Arabidopsis thaliana: one gene and its partners. The protein of the gene in region 3 interacts with the protein of the main gene of each other region in a pairwise test. Each region holds a gene or a part of one and is shown on either strand. Other genes may lie near its edges.

What was found.
Region 1: the proteins of RR14 (region 3) and IAA31 interact in binary tests that used the Arabidopsis thaliana proteins (3 or more experiments, as listed by UniProt).
Region 2: the proteins of RR14 (region 3) and PAP1 interact in binary tests that used the Arabidopsis thaliana proteins (3 or more experiments, as listed by UniProt).
Region 4: the proteins of RR14 (region 3) and WRKY38 interact in binary tests that used the Arabidopsis thaliana proteins (3 or more experiments, as listed by UniProt).

Annotation. Positions count from the first base shown.
Region 1 is NC_003074.8:6,019,320-6,022,766, reverse strand, and holds IAA31 (indole-3-acetic acid inducible 31), read left to right. Parts: upstream 1-1,619; 5' UTR 1,620-1,726; coding exon 1,727-1,851; intron 1,852-1,948; coding exon 1,949-2,160; intron 2,161-2,258; coding exon 2,259-2,343; intron 2,344-2,431; coding exon 2,432-2,486; 3' UTR 2,487-2,794; downstream 2,795-3,447. Other genes in the region: BSH (transcription regulatory protein SNF5, putative (BSH)), read left to right, coding at 3,176-3,225, 3,321-3,415. UniProt on the Arabidopsis thaliana protein: Aux/IAA proteins are short-lived transcriptional factors that function as repressors of early auxin response genes at low auxin concentrations.
Region 2 is NC_003074.8:5,611,617-5,616,889, forward strand, and holds PAP1 (phytochrome-associated protein 1), read right to left. Parts: upstream 3,188-5,273; 5' UTR 2,593-3,187; coding exon 2,300-2,592; intron 2,089-2,299; coding exon 1,808-2,088; intron 1,716-1,807; coding exon 1,583-1,715; intron 1,364-1,582; coding exon 1,296-1,363; coding exon of another isoform or gene 1,270-1,295; exon of another isoform or gene 1,220-1,269; coding exon 1,185-1,219; 3' UTR 587-1,184; downstream 1-586. UniProt on the Arabidopsis thaliana protein: Aux/IAA proteins are short-lived transcriptional factors that function as repressors of early auxin response genes at low auxin concentrations.
Region 3 is NC_003071.7:331,054-335,289, reverse strand, and holds RR14 (response regulator 14), read right to left. Parts: upstream 2,389-4,236; 5' UTR 2,250-2,388; coding exon 1,901-2,249; intron 1,823-1,900; coding exon 1,418-1,822; intron 1,335-1,417; coding exon 1,258-1,334; intron 1,178-1,257; coding exon 776-1,177; 3' UTR 594-775; downstream 1-593. Other genes in the region: VIT1 (vacuolar iron transporter 1), read left to right, coding at 218-515; AT2G01755 (uncharacterized protein), read left to right, coding at 2,502-3,041; MAP70-3 (microtubule-associated proteins 70-3), read right to left, coding at 3,442-3,484, 3,588-3,781, 3,875-4,236. UniProt on the Arabidopsis thaliana protein: Transcriptional activator that binds specifically to the DNA sequence 5'-[AG]GATT-3'. Functions as a response regulator involved in His-to-Asp phosphorelay signal transduction system.
Region 4 is NC_003076.8:7,494,767-7,498,655, reverse strand, and holds WRKY38 (WRKY DNA-binding protein 38), read left to right. Parts: upstream 1-1,665; 5' UTR 1,666-1,948; coding exon 1,949-2,214; intron 2,215-2,357; coding exon 2,358-2,480; intron 2,481-2,567; coding exon 2,568-3,048; 3' UTR 3,049-3,201; downstream 3,202-3,889. UniProt on the Arabidopsis thaliana protein: Transcription factor. Interacts specifically with the W box (5'-(T)TGAC[CT]-3'), a frequently occurring elicitor-responsive cis-acting element.

The DNA of each region.
Region 1 (3,447 bases), on a different chromosome or scaffold from region 3:
ATACGAAGTACTATCCAAATAATTAATTTTCATAAGCAGCGGACATTCATTTTGTTTGTATGACTATATGATTTTATTATTTGAAGCTGTATGCAAACGTGGAGATATGATTGCATCTTTGTCTATGCATGAACATGCCACGTTAATTTAGGAGTACATATCATGATATTGATCTCTCTTGCTATAACTTTTTGGCACAATACTATTGCATGCCTCTCTATATTACTTCAACAAAACGTTTAAATTTACCATGGTTAGAACTTAGAAGTAATCGAGCTGCAAACCATGGTGATCATATTTTTTCTCGTTCGCATGCTCGGTCTTAATATATTGAGAGTTATGGCCAAAATTTGAATACCATTTTAAGAAACTTCAGAAAATCAGGAGTTTGATTATTATCTTTGGTTCTTACTTACTTCAACGAAAACTAATGACAAAACTCTTTTAAGTCGAGGTATGCGAGTAATAACTCCTTGGACATATTTTTTTGATAAAAGTTTAATTGATTATAGACTTATAGTAGTCTTAATTATTATTATAAGTATAAAGAGGAGTAAACATTCATCATTAGACTACTAGACATTATAAAGTTATATATATCGAAATTCTAACAAGAAGGATCCCTAGAGACCAGACATGCATGTCCAAAGACAGATCGTATAATAGCTAATAGGAGTCTTATCGATCCAACATCCAAGGTAGGCTTTATTACAAAGTAACTATTAGAGTGCACTTCCCATGATGATTCTAGAATCTAATATTATTATCAATACAGCCAATGAGCATTATGTGATGTAACAATTTATGTCTACTTTATATTTTGAAGTTATCATAAATCAACGAATTCTATTTTGATTTTCAAAAAAGAGTAAAAGATTTGGGCTTCTAAGAGAGACAATCCACAAAGCTAAAGAGACATTAACAGGAAACGTATAGTTAAAGAAAAGAACACTGTCTGCTCCACAAAAACAATATACACAAAACTCTTCAAGTCTACCTTATTTTTATTGGTTCTGCAATTTTCAATGGTCTGTTACATTAATGTGTCATAAGAGACAATTGAGTTTTCTTATCAACAGAAGGGTCTAAAAAATTGATCCCCCAAGTTCATAGTCTATAGACTCAGTTTTTTTCTTTCAAATATTGATGTGTAAGAAAGTGAAAGTGATGTGATGCTCTGTTTCTGTTTACGGCTAGACAATAAAGCCTTTTTTGGCCCTTATCTCTCCTAATTAAAGAATCTGAGCAGTTGAGAAATTAAAATCAAAGCCTTAACAGATTAACTCCAACATCATTTAGACACACTTTCCTTGGATACCACCTTTTTACGGAAACTTCGAATCTTACATGTAAACAAATCTCAAAACCATAATTTCACATTTTTACTACTAACTAACTCCAAAGATCTAAACCCATGAATTAAGTATCTAATCGGGTAATTATTACAGTGGTTTTCAGAAATCAATGTGTGTTCATATTTAGAAGGTTGAAAGTTCATAGTTAAATGTGGGGAACCTTATGTTCCTATTATTTATTTATATTAAATTTCAAAGTCGATTAAATCAATTTTTAAATTCAAAATCTATGCAATAGAATCACCTACTAGTCCTTTTTTGTTTAACTAGACAGAGAGAAATAGAAATAGAGAGAGAGAGACATGAAGAGCACTCTCAATAGAGAAGAGAAGGAAGCATGAAGCTAGCTCTGCAGCTTCAAGGTCTCATTAATGGAGGTCTCTAACTCTTGTTCTTCATTTTCTTCATCCTCTGTCGACAGTACTAAACCTTCTCCTTCTGAATCTTCTGTTAATCTCTCCCTTAGTCTCACATTTCCTTCTACTTCTCCACAAAGGTCTTATTCACATCACTTCTCTGTTTTTTCCTATGTTCTGTTTTTGCTCTGTTTTCTTTTGTTCACATTTGTGTTTTAAATCTTTATTTTTTTGTAGAGAAGCAAGACAAGATTGGCCACCGATAAAGTCTAGATTAAGAGATACACTAAAGGGTCGTCGTCTTCTTCGTCGTGGTGATGACACTTCTCTCTTTGTTAAGGTTTATATGGAAGGTGTTCCCATTGGAAGAAAACTCGACCTTTGCGTATTCTCAGGCTACGAGAGTCTATTAGAAAATCTCTCTCACATGTTCGATACTTCAATCATCTGTAAGTAATTAATGAACAACACATAATTCCGTAAAAACAACATTCAACTAAATTCAAACAGTTTGAAGTATATCCATGCATTGTCTTGGCTATAACAGGCGGTAATCGAGATCGAAAACATCATGTTTTGACATATGAAGACAAGGATGGAGATTGGATGATGGTCGGAGATATTCCATGGGAGTATGAATCTTATATCTTGATCTTACATTGGTATAATTTCCTCGGTTATAGCTATTCTCTAATTTTTGAAATCGATGTTTTTGTTTAGTATGTTTCTTGAAACCGTGAGAAGACTAAAGATCACGAGACCGGAGAGGTATTAAAACTTGGATCGGTCAAGGCTGTGATTGCGCAGTTACGAGACGTGTAAGATTTAGGCATTGATGAAGAGACTTGAGGCGGGACGGAGCTATTGCTGCATATTGCAACAAAGGCCTTGAAGAAGTTGGAGAATTGATTGATGCATATATTTATTTATATGACACCTTTGAGTGTGTTTTTTCTTATAAATAAATCACAATATCCAAGACTTCTCTTTTTTGTTCTGAATAATAATAATGCAAAGATTTTTTATATGTTTGTAATCGTGTGTTTCTTCGAATGTGTTACATGACTAGGAAAAAAGTACACGAACGTTGTTATGGGGAGCACGAACATGGAATAGAGGAACGTTGTCAGGAAGAGAATGATTCTCTTTGATCTGCCGGCAGCCGTCTCGTTGGTTGTCACCAATGTACAATTTTAATGTTGAGCCCATTTAAAGCCCACTAAATGACTAACAAGCTCGTTTAAAGCCCAAATGCTGCAATTGATCGTAGGATCGGATCCAGATAATTCGTCCCAAAATGGGAAAATTCCAAATTAGAGGTGAAATGTGTAAAGACATTAGAATATAAGGGTGATTCTGAAATAAATTAAGCTAGCGCCGGAAAAAGATCGAGAAATTGAAATTTCCCACACTCTCTCGCTGACTCTCTTCGAAACTCAATTTGTGAAATTTGGGGGTTTAAGGATGAAGGGTTTAGTGTCTACTGGTTGGAAAGGTCCCGTCAAGTTCAGGATGTAAGTTTCGTCGCTTCCTCTACTTTGTTTGTTTTGAAATCGAAATCGAGTTCATGTGTTTTTGTTTTTTCTGATGAATCGATTTGTAATCGGAGCTATAGGCCCACTGCTGAAAACTTGGTACCTATTCGATTGGACATTCAATTCGAAGGTCAGCGTTACAAAGATGCTTTCACTTGGAACCCTTCAGGTTTCTCTCTTAAAAACCCTACCTTTTTTTTT
Region 2 (5,273 bases), on a different chromosome or scaffold from region 3:
CAATGAAAATATAATAAGTGGTGCGCAGGGCCGGTTCAAACTTTTTGAAGACCTTTTGCTGATTTATAAAAACTGACTTTAGTTAATATTGGTTTTTAATTTCTGTAATTTTTGGACCCTAAAACCTTAAAGAAAATTGAAAAAAAAATTGAGGACCCTGTGCTTTTGCTCCTCTAGCACTCCCCTAGAGCCGGCACTGGTGCGACATTTTGCAACAAATGAAACAACGGAATTTTCCAACTCATTATGTTGCGGCTATCGCTTTACATATGTTTCGAAAATGTTTCTTTTTTGGTTTGGTTAAAAGTTAAAACATATACCATTATTTAGCTACCAAAAAATGTTATTATCAAACTATTTGGCTGCATCAATTTCAATGGTTATATTGTTTAACCACAACACTCATCTGGTAATGAGAAGGACAACTTCGAATAAAATTTTTAAGATGAATACAAGTCGGCCAAGTGATGCTTGTGGTATGAATATATTTATCACGAAAACAATGTGCTAAATTAAACATATCTATAGTGATGTTTTAGTCGATCCACCAAGACACTGTCCAATAAGTTACAATGTGTATGTATGATTTAAAAAGTCAGGATAAAAAGCTGCTAAATTCTGCACCTAGAAGAACAAAAGAGATGATATAGCCACCAAAATTATCACGACATGGACTGATCTCATTCTGAAAAGTCTTTTTTGAGTTTTCAACTTCCAATCTTATCTTCTTATATACATGCATACTCAGGTTAAATAGTAAAAACAAGAAGAAAAAAAAAGACAACAACAAAAACAACAATAATGGCCTTTCATTCTCAGCTTTTTACATGATTAAAGGTATAGCCAAAGTTGGAAGGAACAAAAGTTAAAAGAGCTTTTACAGAGAATAAAAATTTCATCTTCTTTTTTCAAAAAGAGTTTTGCAGACATGCATGAGATAATTATTACAGTATGTTCTAATTATCTCCTTAATTAATTAAAATGCTTATAAACACAGATTGCTTATGTAATCTCATCGTCTAGTGTCTTGAAGACATGGGAATATCAGATCAGATCAAATGTTTCTCTGGACCAAAAAAAAAGTAAAAAACCAATGATTAACTCTTATATATAACAAAAACCAGATGTACATTTATAAAGCTTTGAGACTCTCTGTCTGAAATAAAAGTTTCTAAAAAGACTCTTCAGTGCATCATCTTCTCTTGCTTACTGCATCCAACTGCAAATATACAGAGGAACCCTTTTAATCATATAGCTCTAATAAATCATCTAAACATATAAGAACAGAAGCTTACATGTCAAGGCAGATGAAATCTCAGAGCTTTTAATCACACGCAGTCTCTTCACAGATGAAACAAACATTCTGTGTTTAAAAACAAAGATTAAAGATCAGTTAGTATGCAAAAAAAGAGGTATAAACAAATCTCCAAGCAAAATTCTATTCTTTAGGTAAAGAATTATCAATTTGAATTACTACTACTATTGATTAAAAGCTGAGAACTTTTGTTGTTATATGATCAAGAATCTAATTCTGCAAAACACTGAATCAGATTCAGAGAACAAAAGGGGAAAAGATTCTTACTGCCATGGAACATCCCCAACAAGCATCTTGTCCCCTTCATTGTCTTCATAGGTTAAAGTAAATTCTCCTTTCCCATCTAATAATCCAATGATAGGTTTCTCTTCTCCTTGACCATCAGAGATATCTCTTTGAGCTATAAACCAACAACATACACAAATCATACTCAGTAAACACAAGTAACACTCCTAAAGAACTAAAAAACAGAATTTGAGATTAAGATTTAACCTGCGAGTAGACCTCTGAAGAGTTTGTCAACGACAAAAGAGAGCTGTTCGTAGCTGTTGTAAGCATTGAGATCAACTTTACGACCAATAGGAACACCATCCATGTTGATCTTGACAAACATTCCTTCCTTCTTGGTTTCAACTTGTTTTTCACCATCATCACTCTTGTTGATTTGACCTCCATGAGAGGATTCGTTACCTAGCTTTGAAGAGCTTGTGCTCGCTAGATTCTTTCTGAACGAACGAACCGGAGGCCAACCCACCACTGGACCAGGAGCAGTTCTTTGAACCAGATATCAAAAGAAACAAGAGACATATGTCAATACCAAACGACAAAAACAGAGCAAAACAGAGTAAATGTTGAAACTTTTAACATGTGAAGGTAAAAAAAAAAACACAGATTGCAGAAGATGGGTCCCTAATGTTCAAGAGAATATCCTCTGTCAAAGCAGTAAGAAAAAATAACAGTGAAGGAAAAAAAAGGAGATTATACCTTTTCTGTGAGATGTGAGGAACAGAAGTGGTTTTGTTGGAAGGAGAGAAGTGATTGCCATTAAAACAGTGGAAAGATTTGTCTTCTGTTTCCTTCTTGATGTTTCTTATCTCTGTGTTCTTCTTCTTGATTGCTGAATGATCTTCTTCATCACCACCGGGTGGTCCAAGCCTTAGCTCAAGTTTCTTCTCCTGATCTGTGTTGTTCTTGTCTTCTTGGTACCATTTCCTTCCTTGTGGAATCAAATCAAGAAGTTTTGGACCGATTTCTCTGTTTCTTGGACAACCTTCCATTGATCAACCCAAGATTCCTTCTATACGTTAACTATGTATGAAATTGAAATCTATAGCTTCACTAAACCCTAAGAACCCCTTTTAAAGAAACAATCCCACAAAACTGAGAGCGAGAGAGAGAAAGAGAGATGTGTAATGAAGGTATGGTAAGAGAGCAGTGGTGGGATTTTATACAAAATCAAAGCTTTTTTTTTCTCTCTCTCGTGCACGCTTTGGTGGGTTCTCTCTCACACAGCCTTACCTTTTTTTCTTTCTCAATTTGTTGTTCTCTCTCTCTAAAGATTCTGAAAGGGACGAGAAGAGAAAAAATAGGAATACAAAGAAAAGGAAATTTGGATTTGTATGAACAAAAAAAAACTCAGAAAAAGGTAAAGCAAAGTAGAGTGACTCCACTTTTACTCCTAAACCCCAAAAGTAGAAATGAAAACTACAATAAATTTACAGATTGCATACCAAGAAAAACAGTAATTGTTCTTGACATGAAAAGAGAATACTGTGAAAAAAAAGAAGTGGGTTTTAACGTTTTTGGTTTTAGGAGTTCTTTTGTGGAGTAAAACACACGCAACCTTGTCTTTTTTTCTGCCTCAAATATCGCTAATTAAGGGTTTGTCTAGTAAAAGAAGCAAAGCGTGCTGTTCTGTTTCTCACAAGTATACGAATTAGAAAAATAATTAAATGCGTAATTCCAATAAACAACTTGACCATTAAAAAAATACTAATAAGAGTAATTAAAATATGATAACAATAAAGGAACTAAGGGAAGATCCCATAATTTATGGTCTGTTTTTAGGACCACTCTCTTATCCACTGTCCATAAGACACATATCCCTATGCTTTTCTAAAAACATTTTTCTATAGGTCGTCATGGTAATTTGATACTTTAATAGTAATACTACCATTCTACAAAGATATACATAAAGCAAATAATAAATGAACATCATGGGAAGATCAATTGAGAGAATTCAAGAAATGGGTGAGGCATTGTATAAACATACGAATCTGCATGGCGTCTCAGTGAGATATATGTAATTATTTATTTATAAATTTGCCACACAATATGTCAATTTGTTAGGTAGCTAAACAATTATTTTGTCAAAAGTTAAAAACAATGTGTACGTGTGGATTACGATGGTATAATTTAATTTGCTTCCCCAACCAAGTAAATAGTCAACTGTTTGTTTGTTTTTCCTAATCAAAAATTTTCTTTTCTCAAATCTACAAAATCAACATATTTTGATAAAAATAACAAAAGAAAAGACTTTAGCAGAAACAATTGTAGTTGGTCCTTTGATCTTAAAAAATGTACATAATTTTGCAGCGTAAATCAAGAACATATTTCAAGTTTTTCAACCAAAGATTGAAGCTATTTTATTTGGTTTTTCAGGAGGGGGAAAAGAATGTACATGTCTCTCCCACGTACGTGTGACACCGATATTACGATAAAGCCGACGTAGAAAAATCTCGAGTGAGAGTTCCGGTCAAGTAAGGAAGGGTAATTTAGGAAATTGAAGAAGGAGTGTGTCTCTAGTCATATCTTGTCGCCGTTTTACCCAACTCCGTGACTTTCTTCCCTCACTGTCAGACAAAACCTTAACCATGGTTAACATAACCTGAACCTCTCCGGTTTAACTTAACCGCACTAACTAGATCCGCACAGACAAACTAGACAGTGGACACATGTTGAAGTTGCACAAGATTTTGAGATCGTACGATAAGGTTTAAATTTGGGCTTTAATCAAAGCCGTAGAAGTGAATAGAGATATAGCAAATGTGACGGCTGTGATTAAAAGAGTACAAAGCAAAGCATCCGATTAAAAAAGTAGCCGACTCAGGAGAAAAGGAACAAAAAAACAACTCGTGAATTGAATGTCATATCAAGGGAAATAAAGAAAAGCAAGTGAGAATAGTGGTGGTGTCAATGATGCTCTTCCTAGAATTTTCACCAAGAAATAAAATTATTTTTATCCACTCACTAATTTTTTTAGTGAACTAAAAAAGGAGTATATGTAAGAAATTGATATCATTTTAACAAAATAAAAAGAGGAATAAAAGAAAAAATAATCCAAATATGGATAAGGTCTGAACTGATCCTCTAGTATAACTGGCCCATGAAAATCACGCTGAAAATGAGCCCAATTGTTGATCATCAATGTTCATGAACTTCATGCCTTTATGGAAAAATGGGTTGACTATTGAGTTTTGACTACTAATACTAGTAGTTTTGTGAATTTATCACATATATAATGCAAGTTTCTTAGAGTTGAATGAAAAAAAATCATGCCTTGCATATTTGATTGTACTCCTTTCTTCAAAATTTTGTTCATGTTTTTGGGTGCTTGTATTTGCATATTTAGAGTAGACTATAGAAAACTAATTTTTTTTTTTTTTTTTCTCATCTCTTCTTATCAGACTTGTATTCCAGAAGGCTTCACCTCTTACGCAAGTGGAGTTTTTACATATCAAAGTAAAATAATTAAAAATTCATGGATGGTTTAAAATATACAATCTCACAAATTATGAGTTGTCTATTTATAATAACCTATAACAATGTATATGATTATTTGTTTTTTAACAGCTGAATTTCATTGATTTAACAAGTATGATTATTTGTTGTTTAAGCAAGAGCAAAACTATTATTCAACAAATTATAATTGTTTCTATGGGAAAATCTTATTTTTATA
Region 3 (4,236 bases):
ATTCTTATATGGTCCGACTTCCAATTTTAATCTTTTTTGTTGCAACAAATAAAGTACGTGAATAGTAACAAACAGAAAACAACAAATTACGTGAATATAAAAACTTATCTTATTGATTTGGTTAAGTTTAACACTCTTTACCTATCACAAAATGTTTATATTCCTACTATAAGCATGTAACTTGTTATATAAGTGAGACTTTATTGTTTCGTTACAGGTTTGAGCTGGGATTAGAGAAGCCTGATCCAAAAAGAGCGTTACAAAGCGCGTTCACGATTGCAATCGCTTATGTTCTTGGCGGTTTTATACCGTTACTTCCCTACATGCTCATACCGCATGCCATGGATGCGGTAGTGGCGTCTGTGGTTATAACTCTGTTTGCGCTCTTCATATTTGGCTATGCAAAAGGGCATTTCACTGGAAGCAAGCCCCTCAGAAGTGCGTTTGAAACCGCCTTTATAGGAGCGATTGCTTCAGCTGCTGCTTTTTGTTTGGCTAAAGTTGTGCAACATTAGCAGTAACAAAACTAGTGTTGCGTTTGATGTTTTGTGTACTTTGAGACTTGTTTGTTGCATGTCTTGTGGTTATTATCAGGCTAAAACTTTTGGCAACCATAATAAAGTGAGAGATAACAATTCAAAATATTGGTTACATAATTACTTTCCTAAGCTAACATTGCAGACACACAAGTTTTCTTCTGACATTAATCCATTCCTGAAGATTTAAAAGAAACAGTTGCAGAGCCTTCTCTTCTTAAGCGTATCCATATTGGTCACTATCTTTGTCTTGAAGATCTTTCCAAGATCCAAGATTCTTCATTGACATTTGATCCATACCCTTGTCTGATTCTGTTGTTGTTAACGTCACCTCTCTGTCTGAAATTTGCTGAGGAAGATAGACCATGAACCGCCACAGAAACAGGACGGTTAGAAGCGGATGATACATCAACCGAGAAGTGTTCATTTTGAGATCTACCAAGATTGTCATTAGGAATCCAAACTCCAAAACTAGCAGAGTGATGATTGTCTATTGGTTGACCAAACAATGCAGCTAATGTCTGTGGATGTAATTGTCCTGAGGAAACCAGAGCTTGAATGTTTTCATATCTTTTGGTAGACTCAGAGTCATTACTCTGCGAAGCTTCACCGCTTAATCTCTTCAAATACAATCGGAACTTCTGCAAATGGTATTGATTCAGTCATAACCCTTATAGAGACCCTAATAAGAAGAAAGATTCAATCAATCAATCAAAGAAACCTGTAAATGACTAGCCACGTTTTCTCTGCTTAAACCAGGAACATTCATCAACTCGAGAATCCGCTTTGGTACAGCTTCTGAAACAATAAGAGAGATTCTTATAAGCACAAATTACTTTGAATTTCTTCTACAAGCAATAAGATAGTGTTTAGGATCATACTGTCAATTCCAAGTTTGTTTACGGCATTAACGAATTGTTGATGCAATTCAATAGACCAAACAACGCGTGACTTCTTCGAGTTTCCAGGATCAAGAAGAAGATCATCTTCATTATCATCTCTATCAACACTTCTCTTCTTCTTCTTCTTCTTATTCCTACATTTCATCAAACTTTCCTCTGAGCATTCACTAACCGAAACAACAACAGTCTCGAGGCTACCACTGTTCTTGTTATCCTCTAAAGCTTGAGAACTTCGAAGCTCTTTCTTCATCACACATTTCCTTCTAACAACATGTTGCCAAATGTTCTTAAGCTCTTCAGGACGAATAGGTTTGATTAGATAATCACAAGCTCCATGGTTGATTCCAGTCATGACTGTAGTTGTTCTTCCATCAACAGACATCACTAGAAACAGAGCAAATGTAAGAAACATTGATGCAAAGATTCAATCTTTAGAGACAAAACATAACAACAGAGTCTTACTAATGACAGGAAGATCCATTTCAAGAAGACCAACTTGTTGAAGAAGATTGTAACCATTCATACCAGGCATATGAACATCACTTAGCACCAAATCAAAACTGTCTTTTCTTTCTCTTAGAATGGTTAACGCAACATCAGCTTGTGAGCAAATTGTAACTACAAAGAGAAGATAAAACAAAAATGTTAAAACTTTCTTGAGAAAATCTATTAAAAGGTGGGAACTTTGATAAAGAATTAGACCTTGGTACATGAGACGGAGAAGCATTTTCTCGAGAATGAACAAGCATGAAGTATCATCGTCTACAACGAGTATTCTTAACCCACTAGGAAACTGATCGTTGATCGGCATTAAGCTTTGGTGTGAGTATTGAAAACCCTAGAGAACTGAGAAAGAGATTTTGGTTGGAGAAGAAAGAAGAAGAAATGATTGAAGACGTACAGTGTTGAGTAAGTAGCCACTGGTTTGAAGAGAGAGGCAACGAAAGCGACTGGTAATAGCTGTAGTGGCACTCTGTTGTAATTAATCCAATTGGTACTACCCTTATTTGTAAACATACACGAGTCCTTTAAAATCTTATCTATAGACAAAGTCACGGTCCTCATGCACTACAATATCAGAATGCTTATCACGCCGGCGAATTTATCCGGTGGCATAGCCGGATTATTCGTTTTCGGACAGAAAGATCAAATGACTAAAATACCCTCGCTCACAAACTCGTATAACTACCGGAAAAAACTTTTCACCGTCCCTCCAGTGGCGGAGAGAAGAAGAGCTTTGAAGATGTTCTGGTGCGGTGCTCGGAGAAGGGTGAGAGACGAGGGAGGTGGTGAAGATGAAGATGAAATGTATGGATACAACGAGGAAATGGCGATGTTGGAGATATATAGCCAGTCGTGTAGAGAAGAAGCGCTTATAGTGACGGCCATTGTCGACGATGAAGAAGTGGAAGTTGTAATCTTTAAAGGAGTGTCGTCGTGCTTGAGCGGAGAAACGGCGGTGGATCCGGCGAGGAGTGTGTTGCCGGAGAGAGCAGTCATTACAAAGATTGATAGAGTGAGAGGTCCTTTTGATCCTTCACAGATTCATTATATTCAAAGGGACATCTCTTTTCAAGCCTTCAAGGAGACCAGACTCAACTAATGTTAGTGAATGTTGTGTCTGGATCAATGAAACTAATGACAATTTCAATTTTTTCACTAATAACTCTCACCTCTGTTTCTGAACTAATTTCTTAAATCTATAACATACCCCAAAATGAGAAAAATGGACAAAGGTAAGATAGAGAGAGATACAATAAATCACACACTAAGCTCAAGTTAGTAGTTAAAACACAAACCTAACTCTTTTCTATATATGAGGAAAACAATAAACATCAGCCAAGAAATTAAAAATCAGTTTTTAACTTTGAAATCTTACTATGTTAAGAAGCACACAAACCTCCCATATTGGATTTCTATATTTGTATGCTTTTTGTCATTCCTTCAATCTATTAACCACTGAATTGAGATTCATATTTTGCTCGTGGAATCGACTTCTTTGATCACTGCGTGCTCCTCGTCATCCCCATTCGTCCTGAGCCTCTGCTAAAACAACAATGCAAAGCAAACGTTCAAGTGTTAAAGAAAACTAACCTAACCAACTTATAATCGTTACATTGGGTCATTATAATAAGAAAACATCAGGTACCTTCCAGAAAGTAACTGTGCAGTTGTTGAAGCTCCTTTTGAGTTAGTAGAGTGACGTCTCGTTCTACTATCTGATCCTTTGTTATCCACACGCATAGCTGAAACCTCTTTCTCCATTGCTGCTACTTCTCTTCGCATCTTCTTTGCTTCCACTTCCATCGCCTTTGTTAGTGTTTCAACCTTCTTGGCCAACATCTAAAAGCAAACACAAGCCCAAGTATTTTGATCAGAGAATATAAATAAATATAAGCAAACGTTTCTTGGAAAGGTGTAAAACTAATGACTAACCTCAATAGCTTCGTCTTTATCTCTAAGGCTTTGATCTTTATCATTAGCAGCTTTCCTTAAAGTTATCACCTCCTTTTGAAGCAAATCATGTAATACTCCTGGGACACTATCATTATTTGTCCCTGCTGCTTTCTCTGAATCTCCTTGTTTTGTTGAATTAGGTGACCCGCCTCCGCTTGTTCCTTCAGAAGATTGGTTCAATGGAAACTTCGATCTGGGTTCGTTTGTTAGTACTTTACTCCTATCTAAAGATCTACTGCCTCCGTCAAATGATCTGGATGTTCCTTTCGCATGCTTCAATATTGTGCTTGTACTAGCATTCAAAGATCTAAACTGAGAACTTGGTGACCTCTTGGAGAAAA
Region 4 (3,889 bases), on a different chromosome or scaffold from region 3:
TACATGTGGGCAACGTTTCACAGATCAGATCAAAGTCACGTGCGAAAGTTTATATATATATATATATATATATATATATATATATATATCTCTTATGTGTTGATATCTATCAATTTACATTAACCACCCGCAGAAGAAGATAGGGTTGTTAAATTGATGGGTAGATAGAACTTAACATTCTTTACAAACTTTGTAATTTGTTGTATAGTTTCATGAATGGTGTTAATTCATGGCCTGAAAATACCATCGATGTATACAATCTGATAAGGATAAATTGTTTTGGATTGACCATCTATTAGTTTTAAAATATGATTGTATAACTTGGATTGGTTAGCTTTCAGATTATACTATATATTCAAAACAAGCTTTTGTACGTATATTATATCATTTTATCCGCTTAAAATGTAATTACTAATTTTTCTTTCATATAAGATTCAAGTTTACCTAAAGAAAAAGGATTCAAGATTACCAGTTATCTTTTGCAAAGCTTATTAATTATAAATTCTTAAAATTTTAGATTAAATTAAAATATGGACCGAGTAGCCAACGAATGAATCTCACATCACGGCATAGTTGACTAGTTGTTGTTAGTATATAATATAATCAACATTGCTGCTTCGTTCTGACGTCAATCTGCTGAATCAGCCCCTTCAACAAAAACTACGTCATGGGGCTGACGTCGAGTGTCCGACGAAACTAATGCCGTTTTCATTGGTGCATTAGTCGCCACTCGCCAGCTACATCGCAATTATTTCTCTCTTTAAGCGTTGAAAAATTGTCTAGATCTTACTTGTTAATGTTATTCTATTACCTAATAATTATCTTTTGTCTGGTCTAAATACTTACATTTTTATTTAAAATCTGAACCAAAACTCACCAAAAAATTAGATAATTTTACCATTAAAGATATCCACGACTAGTGGAGTATTTTCATTACAAAAAAATGAATTGATCATATCATATGTGTTCGAAGCTTATTATATTGAGCAAAAAAACATTATTTGTACACGTTTCATCTTTGATGAGGTAAACATTGCGATGGACGTGTAAAATATGTTATACTTTTTTTTTTTGTGAACATCCAATCTATTACATACATTTGTTTTTTTTTGTCATATGAACGTAAAATATATTATTTTCAAAACTCTATATTATTAGTTACCGTATAAATTATAATTAAAACCACCTATCAAAATATTAAATAAAAAATATTTAACGATATACAATCAACAAAATTAAGCAAACAAATTTATTCTTAAATTTCATCTGCTATATATTTTCAAAAAAAAAATAAAAAAAATTGCGACACATATTGAAATGGAAAGATTACAAAAGAAAATTTTAAAATCATTGCTAATTTGGGGTTTATCATAGCTCATATCTCTCTCTAATATATCTGACTTTGTAGAACACAGTTTTCTATTAGATTCCTCCTATCTTGAAACCTTTTAGTGTTCTGAAAGGAGTAGTTTTTAATTTTTAATCTTTAATTATTAAGCGAACCGCGTAGATTAGTGTAATAAGAGAAACAGATAAATTCTGAAACAATTAAAAACAGATTGTATATAATTAAGTGAGCCGCGTACTGGGAAAGGTATATAAAATAAACTCTGTTTCCTATACATCATGACAGATCATATGCTAATGTCAACACCTAATCTATCTTTTTGTCTCTCTTTATTTAGATTCACGCATATAAGTCTAGCAGAGCACATGTCCTATATCGAAATTATAATTTATCATTGGCTTCTTAAAATATAACCTAGTGTATGTAAATTATATTTGGTAAACCCAAATTGGCAAAGTCATTTGGGAACGTGTATGTACGACTAGTCCTATAAATTCTGATCTCCCTATCCGTTCAAAAGTTTATAGCACAGAGAAGAGACTTGAGAAAAAGAAAACAAACAAGAAACACATACACACACACACAAGTTCACTATACTCTATGGAAATGAACTCCCCACACGAAAAGGCGGTGCAAGCTATCCGTTATGGCCATAGCTGCGCCATGCGGTTGAAGAGGCGGCTCAACCATCCAATGGCTGATGGTGGACCGCTTTCAAGTTATGATCTTGCTAAATCGATCGTTGAAAGTTTTTCCAATGCCATTTCAATCTTATCTGCTAAACCAGAAACCGAAGATGATCAGTTTTCTGATTTATCTTCTAGGGATTCTTCTCCTCCTCCACAGGGGAGCCCCTCCAAGAAAAGGTATACACTTATGAGTTTGTTTTCTTTTTTGAGTTTGTTTTTGTTTTTCCAAATGAAACCACAATTCTTAATATAAGTATTTTTTTTCTTAGGAGTATATGTTGATTTTAATGCTAATATTTTGATAATACTCATGTTTGCAGAAAGATTGATAGTACAAATTCAAGTGAGAATTGGAGGGACGATTCACCGGATCCGATTTACTACGACGGGTATCTTTGGAGGAAATATGGTCAAAAGAGTATAAAAAAATCTAATCACCAAAGGTAAGAAATAGTATAGCTAATCATATTTCATCATAATTATTTCTATCCCGATCACTCATACTAATTGGTGTATGATGATGGTAACAGGAGTTACTATAGATGTTCTTACAACAAAGATCATAACTGCGAAGCAAGAAAGCATGAACAAAAGATCAAAGACAATCCTCCGGTTTACCGAACCACTTACTTTGGCCACCACACTTGCAAAACCGAACATAATCTAGATGCCATTTTTATTGCCGGACAAGATCCCCTAGATGACTTTAAAAGTACCCAAATGATCCGATTCGGAAAAGATCAGGATCAGGAGAAGGAAAGCCGCTCGAACGGTTTCTCCTTATCGGTTAAGCATGAAGAAGATATCATCAAAGAGCAAGCTATAGATCAGTACCGTGAGATAACCAGTAATGACCAAGATTGTCAAGATGTTATAGAAGAATATCTATCATCACCATCAGGCTCTTATCCTCCTTCATCGTCATCTGGCAGTGAAAGTGCTGACTTTAATTCTGATTTGTTATTTGACAACCCAGACTCGTGGGATCGTTATGATCAGTTTTACTTTTGATTGCACTAGATTTTTCAGCTAAAACTATTTAATAATGTTTTCCTTTTTATGAGATTGTATATATTTGAGAATTGTGACTATTTAAGTATTTATGTTATTGATTAGATAATCCGAGAACAATATTTATATTCACCCCTAAGAGTTTATTTCCGGCCAATAAAACTCTATCATCTAATAAATAAATTAAAAATTCATTTGATTATAAAATATAAATTTCAACCACTTTTTGTGTAAACCTAAATCGATCTATAATCTCGTTTAATTATAAAATCTAAACTCTCATTCATCTTTAAAAGCTCAAAACCGACATTTTAACCTTGTTTAATTGTAAAATATAAATTCTAACCATTCTTTCTAATCCCAAACTCACATTTAACCTCGTTTAATTGTAAAATCTAAATATGTTTATAAACCAAACCCAACATTTAATTTGACCTCGTTTATTTACAAACTAAACCATAATTCTCCTTTACAAACTCATACCAACATTTAACCTCGTTTAGTTTTAACGTCTATAATCCTAACCATTTTTTCTAAACCCAAATTGATATATTTAACCTCGTTTAAAAATGTAAAATGTAAACCTTTTTATAAACTCATACCAACAATTAACCTCATCTAGTTGAAAAAAATCTAAACTCGTTTATAAACTCAAACCTATATTTTATCTTGTTTAATTATTAAATTTTAATCTTAACTATTTTCTTATAAACTCAAACTAATATATAACTGTTTTTGGTGGCAAATTAATTTTTATAATTTAATATTTTTAATTAAGTGGTATATTATGATTAGCAAAATAAAATAGGGTGAATAACAAAGTTTAAATTCCTGAGGGTGA